Schizosaccharomyces pombe: one gene and its partner. The gene in region 1 interacts genetically with each later gene. Each region holds a gene or a part of one and is shown on either strand. Other genes may lie near its edges.

Region 1 (7,655 bases):
TAAATGGTAAAGGGAATATTGTATCGATCTTTAATAAAAAGTCGAAAACCACAGAAATGTTACTATGCACGCAACTGTAGAATGAAGCAACCTTTCATTCTAGTTCAAACGACGCTAGACACAAGTCGGTGTCTTTTTTGTTCAAAAATATTATACATATTCTGGGGTGAAAAGAAAAAATTTGATAAACTTCCATTTGCTTTATGATTGTTCATTAGCCAAAGGATGTTCAACGATTTCACCAACTTTTGCCTTATAACCCACAGGCAACGCTTGCAGGAGTAAGCGTACATCTTCAATTTTTTTGTTTTCCAACTCTTTACGAAATGCTTCATCTTGACGAGGATCGAGATGTTGTTTCATAGCTTCGCGAGCATCTTCACGTATCCATAATGGTTCGTCGCTCAACTCAACCATATATTGACAACTTTTTAGAAAGCAATCCTTCGAGCAATAATAGTTGAGTCCACCGTAGACCTTCATTCCTGAATCTTCTAATTTATACCTAGTTTGCTGCTTAGGTTCATAAGGACAAACGGGATAACCGCACAGATTGACGAGTTTACGCTCCTTCACCACTTGATCGTAATCACTTTTTCGAAGGTATTTACGAGCTTCCTCTAAAGTTTCTAGGGAAACCGGATCAACCAGCTTTTCAATCCATTCGAGGGCAAAAAAATCATACTGAAGTCGACTGCGTGCTTCATCTATAAGACTCTTCGACCACGTGATCAATTGCTTTTCTTGAGTGCTTTGAGCATTTTTCGGCTTTTTGAGAATTGATTTTTTGTTCATATCTGAATTGGATATATTGGAGTCAGCTGGAAAACAGAAGGTCTTAAAAATCGCTATTAGGCAGATATGAGTCAGTCAAGCATTGGAAGGAGGAATGAGCATCGTAAAAATACTTTAGCGCCGTGCAATTTTTGTTAAAGAGTTCTTGAGTTACGCAATTCATTTACAGCGAACTAAGACAGTGCGTTGGCCTTGGTACTAAAAATTTTGATAGAAATTACCCTCTCAGTTGAGTGTGGACAAAGGAAAAAAAATAAAGAAAAGCATGCGTTGCACCAATCATGTAAAGAAAGTTTTGTAGGTCTCTTTAAGAAAATCATTTTACCGTTAAAAATAATAATGATAAATTTACATCCACCCTATTCATATCTTCCACTAGTAAATAACTGGTCCTTAATCTTAATGATTCATATCCATATCCATACCATACCCCACACCCACACAGTAATCGTAAATATAGCAAACCAACGATGCTGTGGCTTCGTTTTAGGATTGCTAGTGTATCCTTATGTAAAATAGGAAACCAGATCCAATTGCGTAAATATTATTATAACGTTAAATAACAAAAACCAATCAACATTGATAAGCAAAATAATACCCAATAATCTTACAGTGCATTACGCTACCTTTGGCTAGTCGAACGAATCACTGTCAACAAGATGTTACGATTGGAAGGGAATTCCCCAGATCCTTTCCCCACAATGTTCATTCATTGAAAATCGTCTCACATGTAGTCAGTCGCTTCTTCACGTGCGATATTATCATTTGGGTGTTTATTGCTGTTAAGATTGACCAAACTTCTTTGTCTGCACAAATCGCGTGCCCTTTAGGAACCAAAATGACAGTGTACTGGCTTAGATATCCTAATAGAAGAGATTAACGATGACGTTCAGCTTCGCTATCATTTGTATATATTTTTAGTGGTAAAATAAATCGGCGGAGCCTTCATCTTTGGTATCTTGTTTTCTCTTTTTTTGGCTTTTTGTATATCTGTGTTTTAGGAAAAAAGAATCAGTGTATTGTATATTGAATGGTACCATTCTTTTTATACTGGTTCATTGTTTATCTGATCTCTCTTTGTACTTAAAAAAAGTATTAGCGGATCGCAGGCTCCACGATGAGCTCGTTTCCCACAAGAGTGGTTGCACTCTATCCTTATAGAAGCAGCTTCTCCGATGACTTGGAATTTGATCCAGGCCAAGTTATCGACGTCGTCAGTAATCTGGACGGCGACTGGTATACCGGAACATATGTGGACTCGGACGGTAACAGGAAAATTGGCTCCTTTCCAAAGGACTTTACCGAGCCAGCAGAGGATGCTGTGTTTGTAGAACGTGCTAGCGAAATGGCTCTTCATCAACCTACGCCAACTAGTGCTGTTCATTCTCGCAACTCTTCCTTAGGTTATGCTCCTTCTATTACACGTAGCATCAAGTCGATTTCCAACAATACAGAGCATCTTGGTGCCGATACAGAATCATATCTTTCAGCTAATGACTTTATTGACAGTACAAGTGAAGCACTTACGAAGATAGTTGATGTGGATACATTGAGTGCGCCATTCGGTAACGACAGCAACTCGCGTCCACATTCTTTAAAAAATGTGGAAAAATTGCATACATTCTCAGCTCCATATACCATATCTGAAGAGACGCCATCTTGCTCCACTGAGAACGACTCGCTACCACTTACCGCTACTCACACTATTACTGGTGGTGAGGATGCTGCTACCGGTGCTGCTGTAACCAACACCACCACTACCCACATTACTACTTCCACCAACACGTCTACCGTCATCCCCTCTAACCCAAATTCAGTTTTTCTTGTCGATTGTACTCATTCACAGTGCCCAACTGATTTACCAAACATCGCAACTACCCAACACTCTTTAAGGTATCTTGATAACGCATCTGCATCCGCAATAACCGTTTTGGAACGCACTCATCCCGCAGCTTCTTCCACCATGGCTACTGAGTCCTCCCATCAATCTCCGTCTGCGGACTCACAGGCAGAAGAATTATCAAAGAGCCAGCGAGTTGCAAAGGATGACGATCCTTTTGTTGTTTCCAATACTGCGAATTCCGATGAGCCAGCTTCAAGCTCAAAGCCCGCTAAACCCCTTACTGATTTGAATCGAGCCTTTTCTCAGCGCCTTAACTTGGATCCTCAAAAGCCCGGTAAATCACAGGGCGAAATCAGTGAGCAGGAGGAAGATGAATATGACGATGCTGAGTCAGATGAGATGCACAGTCCCTATAGCACTCACGAACCCGAATCTGAACCTGAAGACCAGGATGAACCATCGGAAAAGGATGATGAGAATAAAGATGTAGAGGAAGAACAAGAACAAGAGCAGGAGGAAGAACAAATTGATCCCGAAGAAGCTAAACGAATTGCCCTACGCGAACGAATGGCAAAAATGAGTGGAGGTATTGGTATGCATGTTTTTGGATTGCCTGGTCTAGCTGCACCTATTGGACGGAAAAACACTTTGAGGAGAACTCCTGCCAAATCCTCCGAGGAAGCAAAGAGCACCACTAATGACTCTTCTCCACCAAAAGACTCTTCTTCCACTTCTACTCAACCTACTGAACAATCGAATGCTCAGCAGGCTCCGTCACCGAAGGAGGAGGAGCGTCCACTTCCTTCCGAACCTTCTCAAAACCAACCAGCAGAATACCGTGATACTCCTGATACCCCCCGGAATATAATGCCTTTACCAGGCCTTATGTCTGCCGACCAACCAATAAAGGTCACTGAGCCTTCCAACGATGCAGATAAAGCTATTGTTGCTGAGGGTCCCAATAATGAGGAAGAGACTAAGGGACCAGTAATCCCAGAAACTCAGGAAACTTCCGAACAGCAAGTTCATAAAACTCCTTCTCCGGAGAAGCAAAAAGTGCTTTCTCCTCCTCCAATTATTACTAACTTTGATAAGGAAACACTTGCCTCTAATGAAGCACACGAAGCGGTACCCCAAAAGCCTTCTGCTCCACAAGTCACTCGTCTCATGGCTCCACAAGATAGCTCTTCAGTGGTAACTCCTTCCCCAACTTCTTTGCTGGATCCTGCTCGTGCTGTTCGTAAAGTAATTGATGGAATTGATCCCCCGAAAGAAGCTGGTGCCGGTGCTACAGCTGATGTAGAATCGGCTGCTAACTCACCAATTACGCCTCCTCGCACCTGGCATTCGCCCGATTTTACCTCCAAGTCGTTTGAACCCATAGAGCGCAAACTTCCCAGTCGCATTTCTGAGGTCACTGAGGACAGTATTGACGAGGATAAGCAGAATGAAGTTGACCCTTCCACCAGTGCGCGTGCTCTTCCTCCGCCTGGCTTACGGTTTGGTAAAGTCGACACTTTAGCCAGTCTTGCACATGATGATTTAGATGATTTACCAGCAGTTCCACGTATATTTAGCCCACCTCCTTTGCCAAAGACGCCCTCTGGCGAATTTGGAGATAATGAATTTATGTTCCCAAAAAAGTCAAATCGTGTTCGTGGTCACCAGTCCAGACCTTCAACTGGTTCCCAACTTCGAAATGTTGTTCCTGTTTCTATTGTAACTTCTGGTGGTCGCCCCGCTTTACCCGACGAAATGGCCTCGCCTAGCTCTTCTATCGGTCATCCTTTACCATCTCCTCCTCCAGCGGATTTTAATAGTTTAAATGTGGATTTTTACGAACCTCATAGCTATCTTGAATCTCCTGCTCCCGAACCTCAACCTTCTTATGAGGAAGAAAGTTTTAATGCTACGGTAATACATGCTCCAACTCCTAGTACTGCTACTTTTCAAGGTCATCCTACCATATCAAATGTTGCTACTCCACCTTTGAAGCAAGATGTTACCGAAAGCAAAGCTTCTCCTGTTGCTGATGCCTCAGCAACACATCAATCTAGTACAGGGTTAACTCAAGAAATTACTCAATTAGGCTCAAATATGAGATTACCCACCAAGTTGACACGTCCATCAAACGATGGACGCAAAGCTTCTGGACCAAGGCCTGCTGCTCCTCCCTCTATTCCTCCACCTTTACCAGTAAGCAATATACTATCTTCGCCGACTTCTGAACCTCCAAAGGATCATCCACCCTCGGCGCCTTTGTCGAAACCAGTATCAACTTCACCTGCTGCTCCGCTAGCCAGGGTACCTCCAGTTCCTAAACTTTCGTCTAAAGCACCTCCGGTGCCATTGCCTTCAGCTGATGCTCCACCAATCCCAGTACCTTCTACTGCCCCTCCTGTACCCATACCCACTAGTACTCCACCAGTACCGAAATCTTCTTCTGGAGCTCCATCAGCACCACCACCAGTACCAGCACCTTCATCTGAAATTCCATCAATTCCAGCTCCGTCTGGAGCTCCACCGGTGCCAGCACCTTCTGGAATTCCACCAGTGCCAAAGCCTTCGGTCGCAGCCCCACCGGTACCAAAGCCTTCAGTTGCAGTTCCACCGGTGCCAGCGCCTTCAGGAGCTCCACCAGTTCCAAAGCCTTCAGTTGCAGCTCCACCAGTGCCAGTACCTTCGGGAGCTCCACCAGTTCCAAAGCCTTCAGTTGCAGCTCCACCAGTGCCAGCGCCTTCAGGAGCTCCACCAGTTCCAAAGCCTTCAGTTGCAGCTCCACCAGTGCCAGCACCTTCTTCTGGAATTCCACCAGTACCAAAGCCTGCTGCGGGTGTCCCACCGGTGCCTCCACCAAGTGAAGCTCCACCGGTACCAAAGCCTTCTGTGGGTGTTCCTCCAGTCCCCCCACCATCTACAGCTCCACCGGTGCCGACACCTTCCGCTGGGCTTCCACCAGTACCAGTTCCTACTGCAAAGGCTCCTCCAGTACCTGCACCTTCTTCTGAAGCCCCTTCAGTTTCGACACCAAGATCTTCGGTTCCGTCGCCACACTCGAATGCCTCACCTTCTCCAACTTCTTCTTCTATGGCTTCTGCTGCTCCAGCACGTACTTCAGTTTCAAGGTCGAAATCTAAAGCTGAAAGGCATGAAACATCGACAAGCAGTCGTAAGTCTTCAAAGTCTGGAGAACACCATCATCATCACAATGAAGGACATGCTGATTCATCTTCTACTCGTACGTCATTAGCGCATCAAGACAGTCGTAAATCTCTTCATCGACATCTTTCGCGCTCTTCGAGTAGAGCTAGTAAGAAACCTTCTATTGTCTCTACTACTGGACCTTTTAACGAAAGCTTTTCTGCAAAGCCGGTTGAGCCTTGCGCTTCTGAGAAATGGTGGCTGAATTCTACTGCTGTTCCTAAATCCGTAGTGCAGATGAATGACTCTGTTCTATATATGATAAAAGAAGGAATTACAGGGCAAGATAAAAAATACAAGTCTGTACACATACTGTTCCCTGACTACAGCCAAACAGTCTTGACAGCTACATTCAACCCACATAACCAAAATATTACACAATTATCTCAACTTCAACTAGCTCCACCAGCACAGCCTTCAAAAGCTAGATTAGATGAGGAATATGCTTGTTATGGCTCTACAATTTTGAAAAAAGCCCGAGCTTACCAAGGTAGCATGGTTGGTGATGGTTCTGCATTCACTTTTGTTAATTCCGTTATGTCGATACTGGCGCATAATCTCGAACCTATAAACAAACAGACTTTTGGAGGTGTGATTTACAAGAATGTTGGAAATGTTACTGTGCAACAAATTGGTGAGATTCGCCCAGGTGATATAGTTACATTTGATAAGGCTAAATTTAGTGGACAAAAAGGTACTCTTCGTTCAAAATACTCTCTTGAAGTTGGTAAGCCCATGCATTATGGTATCATATCAGAGTGGGATGTTTCGAAACTGAAGATTAGGGTGTTGGAACAAGGCAGAGAGTCCAAGAAGGTTTCAGTTGCAAGCTACAAATTCGGTGATTTAAAGAGTGGAGAAGTTACTGTGTGGCGTGTAATGCGTCGATCTTGGCTTGGTTGGAATTAATGGTAATTATTTTACTATGGTTTTAAGTTCTTATCATTTTATCACAAATAACTCAAACTTCCTAAAGAGCAGCACTCATTTTTTTAAATTGTTCAATTGCGAAGCAGATTTGAATAGTCCTTAATGATCGTCTGTCAGTATATTCTTTCACTGATATATCTTTGACGATTGGGATTATTTATATCATTTTTTGACGACACGCCCTATGTTTTTAGAAGACTTATATCTCGTGGAAGTTGTTTGCTGAATTATATTCACATATATACCAAAGATTGGGCTATGTGATTCAACTTTTGAAATATATATACACATCTACAGTCATTTTTATAGTATATGCTAATAATCAGTTATATCTAATTAAACAGTTGAAATGCACAATTAACAATGTATGGTAAAAGGATAAGATTTTGTAAGTTATTGAACTGTACTTAAAGACAATTTCGGAAAAAAAAAATCCTTTACAAAATTCTAACTCTTTTTTCAAACGCTTGCGCTTATATAATCAACAAAAAACATTTATTTCGAGGTGAAACCGAAAATAACGGTTAACTGAAATATATACCTAGTCAAGATTAACGAGAGTGACTTTCACTAACACCCAGAGAACAAGGATGTAACATTGCAAACCAAACAAACTTCTTAGAAAACACATTCAGTTCAAGTGTTATGACTGTTCACCAAAATGAACAACCGTCAAGTGCAAAACGCAGTTTAGGGTAAACTAGTAAATAGGGAAACAAATGGAAAGTGTAAGAGTCATTTGAAGCAATAGACCCATTATTGGTACAAGAATTTGATGCCACACAAAGAGAAGTAAGAATAAATAGATTGAAAGATTTTTTAAAGGAGAATCGTATGTCGTTAAGATTATTGCTAGTGGTAGATTGTACTGTGGGATAACAACAGA
Region 2 (6,278 bases), on another chromosome or scaffold:
GGTTCTAGGGCGGCATTTCCGTTGAGACTTGCCCATGTTGATGAATATGTAAAAGAAGGAATTGCCCTTTGCGGGGACGCTGCTCATAACACTCATCCATTAGCTGGACAGGGATTAAATACTGGAATTCAGGATGTTGAATCTTTAATATCAGCACTCTCTTTTGCTATCAAGCACGGTCAGGATATTGGTAGTGTTTTTTCACTCCAACCGTATTTCCGTGACCGTTACTTCAAAAACCATGTTTATCTAGGAGTCGTTGATAAGTTCCACAAGCTGTACGCAATGGAAAATCCGGTGGTCACTTCTGTACGAACCCTTGGACTTTCATTATTTGATCGCAGTGCTAGCTTGAAAAACTTCATTCTTTCTACGGTAGCTAATGGAATTTAGTATTGTCGAAGTCTACTATACTATATTTACGTTTTACCACTGGAGCTGACTAATTTATTCAAACAATAAACAAGATAATGATTTTAATATTATTACAGAAGCTATCACTTTTGTCCCATTTATAAGTATACGCTATGCAATGTATCAACTATATTTCACAATTAAATTACTATTTAGCTTTGCTTAATCAAAGTCGTCGACGAAGAGTATTCTCAATCTATCACAATAAAACATGCAAGAAGCAAATACTAGAAGCTTTCATTGATAGCTAAAAAACATGCGATAGGAGAGACTATAGTTGTCACAAGCCATTCATTATTGCAAATTAAGAATCAAGCAATGTACTGGCCGTATTATATATACATCATAATGAAAGCTCACCAATCTTCTTCTTCATCACTACCACGCACAGCTGATGCTCGCATGCGCAAGGCATCAGCAAGTGAACCAGCTAAGTTGTTGACTTCAGCTGGACTAGCATTATTATTCGCTTGAGCTGCAACATTAGTCGAAGAAGCGGTGGTTTGAGGTGTAGAACCTTTGTATTCTGTCACATAGGTTGCGGGAACCCATCCTTCAGCACCATTCTTTAAAGCAAGCCACCACCCGCTTGGCTCCTTTTGAACAATTTCTATAATTTCGTCTTTCTTGATAGTCATTTCATTTGGACTGCGTCCCGCAAAGTCATATAAGGCCAAGTACAAGTCTTTCTTTTCGACTTCAGCGGGAGGAGGAGGAGGAGGAGGAGGAACAGCACTAGGCTTGCTGACGTTATTAGCAACTGGAGCAGAGGGTTTAGAGATATTGCTTGGAGAAGAAGCTGCAGAAGTTACCGTGGAAGGAGCTGGTTTAGAAGCAGAAACAGTGGTTGCTTGCTTAATAGTTGTAGTCGTACTTGTAACTGGGGCTGCAGCTTGAGTTGTATTAGGACGAGCTTGCATAGCAGGAGCAGGGGGACGATTTTGGGTTTGTTGAGCAGTACTTACGGGATTAGCCATAGGAGCAGGTTTGCTCTTCGCAGCCGGCATAGATACGGGCTTTGTAGCAGCAGGTTTGTTCTGCACAACTGGGCGAGGCCCTCTAGCAGCTGCTGTACTACCACCAGTTGCTAAGCGAGGGAAAGGCTTACTCTTACTGGTAGGAGGCAAGCCAGTACCAACATGAATAGTTCCACTCTTGTAGTAGTCATAATCCTTAGTGGTTTCGTCTTTTGCCGTCTTAACAGTTTGTACCTTGCCAGGCTTTCGGCAGTATTGAATGGTGGGACCCACGATAACTTGAATATTACGATTGATTCTCTTTAAGGTAGTTATAAATTCTGTTTTGAAAAAGCATCGCAAAAACATATCTCCATTTTGGCTGGACTTATTACGAATTGCAACCCAATCATCTTGCAAATTTGTAAGACCAACAGAATCGATGGAAGATACAGCGAACTTCTTCTCCACCTGTTGTGTGAGCTTTTGGTCAACAATTTTTGTAATCACCAAATATAAATTCTTTTTGGTAAGAACCAGTTGACGAGGAGAAGGTTTGGAAGTGCGGCCTAGCTTATGAACAAGGACCTCACATCTCATTGAGAAAATTACGTGATCGTTTTGAGAGAGGCCGCATGTGTTCCATAGAGTACCATTAGGCTTTGAAGCTGATAGATAATCTCCATAAAACTTACGGGATCCCAAAATACTATATCTTCTGCGTTGCTTTTTACCTTGCAAAAGTTTAGTACCCTCATTACGAACACGTTCAAGTTCCATGTTAACTTTGTTCCTATTCCACAACTTCTGAATACAAGCAGCAGCTTCAGATCTTCTTCTAACATAAGAACGCCAAGCACGTTGTATACGGGTTGCCATTGTATCCCAAAACTTATCACGCATGTCTTCGAGCGCGAATAAGGTCTCCGGATTTTTAATGAAAACTTTGCTAGTACCCATTTGGTATTCAGATGAAGGAATATTGGTATCTTTCAAAATCTGTTCGCAAGCAGACTTATCATCACCCTGCCAAGTGTATTCTCCTGCATAACTGGTTTTACCACTAAGAACTGCAAAACGCTGAGCAAACGTATCGAAAGCTTGACGATAAGCAAAACCAGCACGACGAATACGAATGTTTTCTTGCAAACCTAAATATTTGATTTGATGTAAAACCATCTGCTGATCGTAATCGTTAGGCGACTTAGTCTGATTGGGTTTAATCGTACGTATATACGATGGTTGACATTTCATAAGAGTCTCTACTAAATCATTAGCAGAAGTTTTGATACGATCACCAGCTGTAGGAGGACGACGACGGGAGTTACTCTCTTCAGCCACTGGGAAAATAGATTTCATGAACTCGTTGTTGGAAGAATGAATAAGGTTAAGAATATCAGTTGCTAACTGATCCTTATTCTTATCGGTCATTCCTGTAATGCTGTAGGTTACATCACCAGCGTAATGTTTGACTATAAATTGATTTTGTCTCTGTTCAAAATGTGGATTGGAGGATAAAAAGTTTAACCGCTGAGCAAAAGCACTATCCGCCGCAGCAGAGTCAGCATGAGCGGTAGCGATAGCGTCGTTCATTGCTGCGAAAAGACCAGGAGGTCGTTTGGATTCAATCAAATCACATACAACTTTATTGTTGAAATATTTGATAGGAGTCCAAGCAATTTGCTCACGCACGTATTCTTCCTGTTCAGTTTTCAAAGTAAGTTCTATAAAAATTTGTTGCAATTTTTCATTAACATAGTTAATGCACAATTGTTCAAAAGAGTTGTTTTCAAAGATTTCAAAGCCGTAAATATCTAAAATACCAATCGAATTGGAAACGCTGTTGTCTGATGTGACCAAAGCTTTGTTGACACGTTCGACAATCCAATCAAAAAGACAGTTATAAATCGCCATAGACAAAGCATCACGAACAGCCAAAGCTTGTGTTGGATTTAAGGGGACTTCATATACAGATCCGCGCCTTGCACCATGCTGAGTTTGCATAATACGAATTGTCAAGGCACGCTCAATAGCCGCAACAGGAACACCGATCAAATAGCCTAAAAATTCGGTGATGCTCTTGTCAGAAATCACGCTACCACCATCTTGGCCTTCTTGAAATTGAATATTTCCTAACCAAAGGATGATAGAAAGCATCCTAAATATTTCATCTTGCTCCGGCTCGGTGATACCAATAACCTTCATGGCGTTCATCGTTCCTTGGAAGTCCTTCTCATCTGAAATCCCATCAACCGACAAACATTGACAAGCAGAAGTGTAAACATAATTCTCCGGACCTTGAATGCCATATGTATCACGATATTTCTGAGGAGCGCTCTTGGTGAATTGATAGAAAATATGGAAATTACGCTCATTGCGAACTTGATTAACAATTCGGTTCTTTTCTAATAAGTAGTTCGTAATTTTAGCGCCGACAGGAACACCTCCGGAATTAAAAATCATTTCTAAATACTTTCCATGACGAGAAGAATTATTATTGCGAAGAGTTTTTGCACAACCAAAACTTTCCAATAAAGGATTGGTAGCTAAAATAATTTCGGAAACTCTTTCAATTTCAGTGCCAACGGACTTTGAAACATGTGTAATATATTGCATGATCCTTTTTGCAGCCTCAGTCTTACCAGCACCCGATTCACCAGAAATGATAATACATTGATTCTCATGATAAGACTTCATTTGATAGTAAGCGTTCTCAGCAATTGCATAAACGTGAGGGCTCGTTTCCAAACGGTTTTTTCCTTGATATGATTTCAAAATATCCATCGTATAAATACCCAGGTCTCGAAATGGATTTACAGAAATCAACACATGTCCAATATATGTATAAATCTCTCCATTGCGAAATCTCAGTTCCAAGTTTTTGTTAATTTCCTCATCTGTAATTTTCGAAAGTAGGGTTAAATCATCAACACCCACAGTCTTTTTGCGTGTGCTGGTATAAACAGCCTTTTTAATACCATTGCTTTTCCCAGTGCTATTGGGAGCAGCTGCAGTCGCAGCTTTCGCGCGGTTTGTTCTCTTAAGGATGGCCTAATTTATTAATTAGCTAACATTCGGCATGCATATTTACTTACCATAAAATCTATTCACTTATGGCCGAACAAGAGATAGGTTAACGACAAGTCCGCACTTACGTGTAGGTTTCTTCTAATACTGAGATAATTGCGTTACGGATCGTTAAAATGAGCGAAATATGAGTTTCTAGGTCAATATTGCCAAAGACCGTTCGAAACTTCAGACCCCAATTATTAAAATTGTACTTTAGCTGAAAATTGAATATACTTTAGCTTTCTGTCGTTTGCTTCATCCATTTTTGGTATTGACATTAAAACAATTACCTAGCCGAAAGAGGCTTGTTATGTAACATACTCGAACGAAACTTATCCAAATGTGTTTTAGGGTAACTTCATTAGGTAAGGTAACGAACACACTAAAGGTATGAAATTTGCGACTAATTATGATGAAGTGATAAACATAACGCGCTTGAATTAGTTAATACTTGATTTGATTATTGTGTGTTCATGTAGTCGATAAGATGAATTAAATGAACATGAATTTTCAATTATGAATATTTTAAGTCGAAGATACCTTTCATAAAGCGAGAAGTTTTGAAGTATTTTAGATATAACGGCTATCGCCGTTTCAAGAACCAAAGCAGCCGCAGATTATTATAACGCGACATAAAAGGTTGAATTCCCCAGCAAATACAACTGTAGTTCTCGTATTGACCTTGAGTATATTCTATGACAATTAACTTATTACAGATATTAGGATGTAACACAATATGAGAGAAGCTATATGATTTGCAGTAACTTAAACATAATCATCTGTTTATATCATTTATAAAAGAATACAAACAGTGATTTATAGACAACGTTTGTGAGTGCCATAATTAATTGAAATAACGGGGTTTATATATAATACCAAACTAAATGCACGAGATGAAAGCTAATCTACTTGCCTGTTACAGAGAAATACAAGGTACACAACTTTAGTAATGTCAGGATATCAAGTAGTGAGAACATGACAAGGCAGGCTCCTTTTAATTGCGAAATCGTAGAAATATCATAAGGAGCTAAATAAAGAACGGCAGGAAAGGTATTTACAACAAGAGTAATAAAACAGCGTATCAGATATCGATTTAGCGAAATATTAGACACATGATATACCTACTAAATCAGCATCCATAACAGCTTTCCCATTGTGAATTTAATCCATCAAGAAATTTAAAGAGTGGATAACATTCCTTATATAATTCTACTCTAAACAAATGCACCCAAGCTAAGGGCAATGCCTTGAGTTTTTGAACGAATGCGAACATGTCCTGAGATAGGACCGGAGACGGATTTTTCAACGCTAAGACTCATAAGTGCGTCTTCCCCAAAAATACTGCAGGCGTACAAATTAGCACTCAAAAAACCACAGTCACCACGCAGAGACGCGTCTGGAGTAAGACAGTTCATATTGGTTTTCTTCATTATTTTATGTAAGAAATCGTACAGACTAATGTCTTCGTTGGAAGAAATATCGACCTTGTTTTCCCATTCAAATTCCGTCCACATGCTACGGAATTGAGATTCGGGAATGAATGCGGGTTTTATATAATCAATAATGTTGACTGGAATGCCATTCAAAACAACAATTTTGTCTTCGTCGGATGCTTTACCACCATACACGATATTTCCAAAGATTACTGCAGACTCCGTTGAAGATACCTTTACCGTAGCCTGAACAGATTTAAAGGCATGAGGTCCTAAATTCATGGGTGGTGGACGCTCTACAACCTTAAGATCTCCCAACGTAGCCAAATCAACAGAGAGATTCTGTAACGTGGTATCCGTTCGATTAACCAATAATATGTCTAGAATAATATCAAATTGTTGTATC

Evidence for each region.
Region 2: of bbc1 (region 1) and myo1, changing one suppresses a phenotype caused by changing the other (phenotypic suppression), as found in Schizosaccharomyces pombe (one study listed by BioGRID).

Annotation. Positions count from the first base shown.
Region 1 is NC_003424.3:4,104,915-4,112,569, forward strand, and holds bbc1 (SH3 domain-containing protein), read left to right. Parts: upstream 1-1,733; 5' UTR 1,734-1,912; coding exon 1,913-6,748; 3' UTR 6,749-7,130; downstream 7,131-7,655. Other genes in the region: RNA polymerase II CTD phosphatase Rtr1, read right to left, coding at 202-795.
Region 2 is NC_003423.3:1,023,463-1,029,740, forward strand, and holds myo1 (myosin I myo1), read right to left. Parts: upstream 4,512-6,278; 5' UTR 4,469-4,511; coding exon 4,466-4,468; intron 4,422-4,465; coding exon 771-4,421; 3' UTR 501-770; downstream 1-500. Other genes in the region: monooxygenase Coq6, read left to right, coding at 1-393; coatomer beta subunit Sec26, read right to left, coding at 5,654-6,278. UniProt on the Schizosaccharomyces pombe protein: Type-I myosin implicated in the organization of the actin cytoskeleton. Required for proper actin cytoskeleton polarization.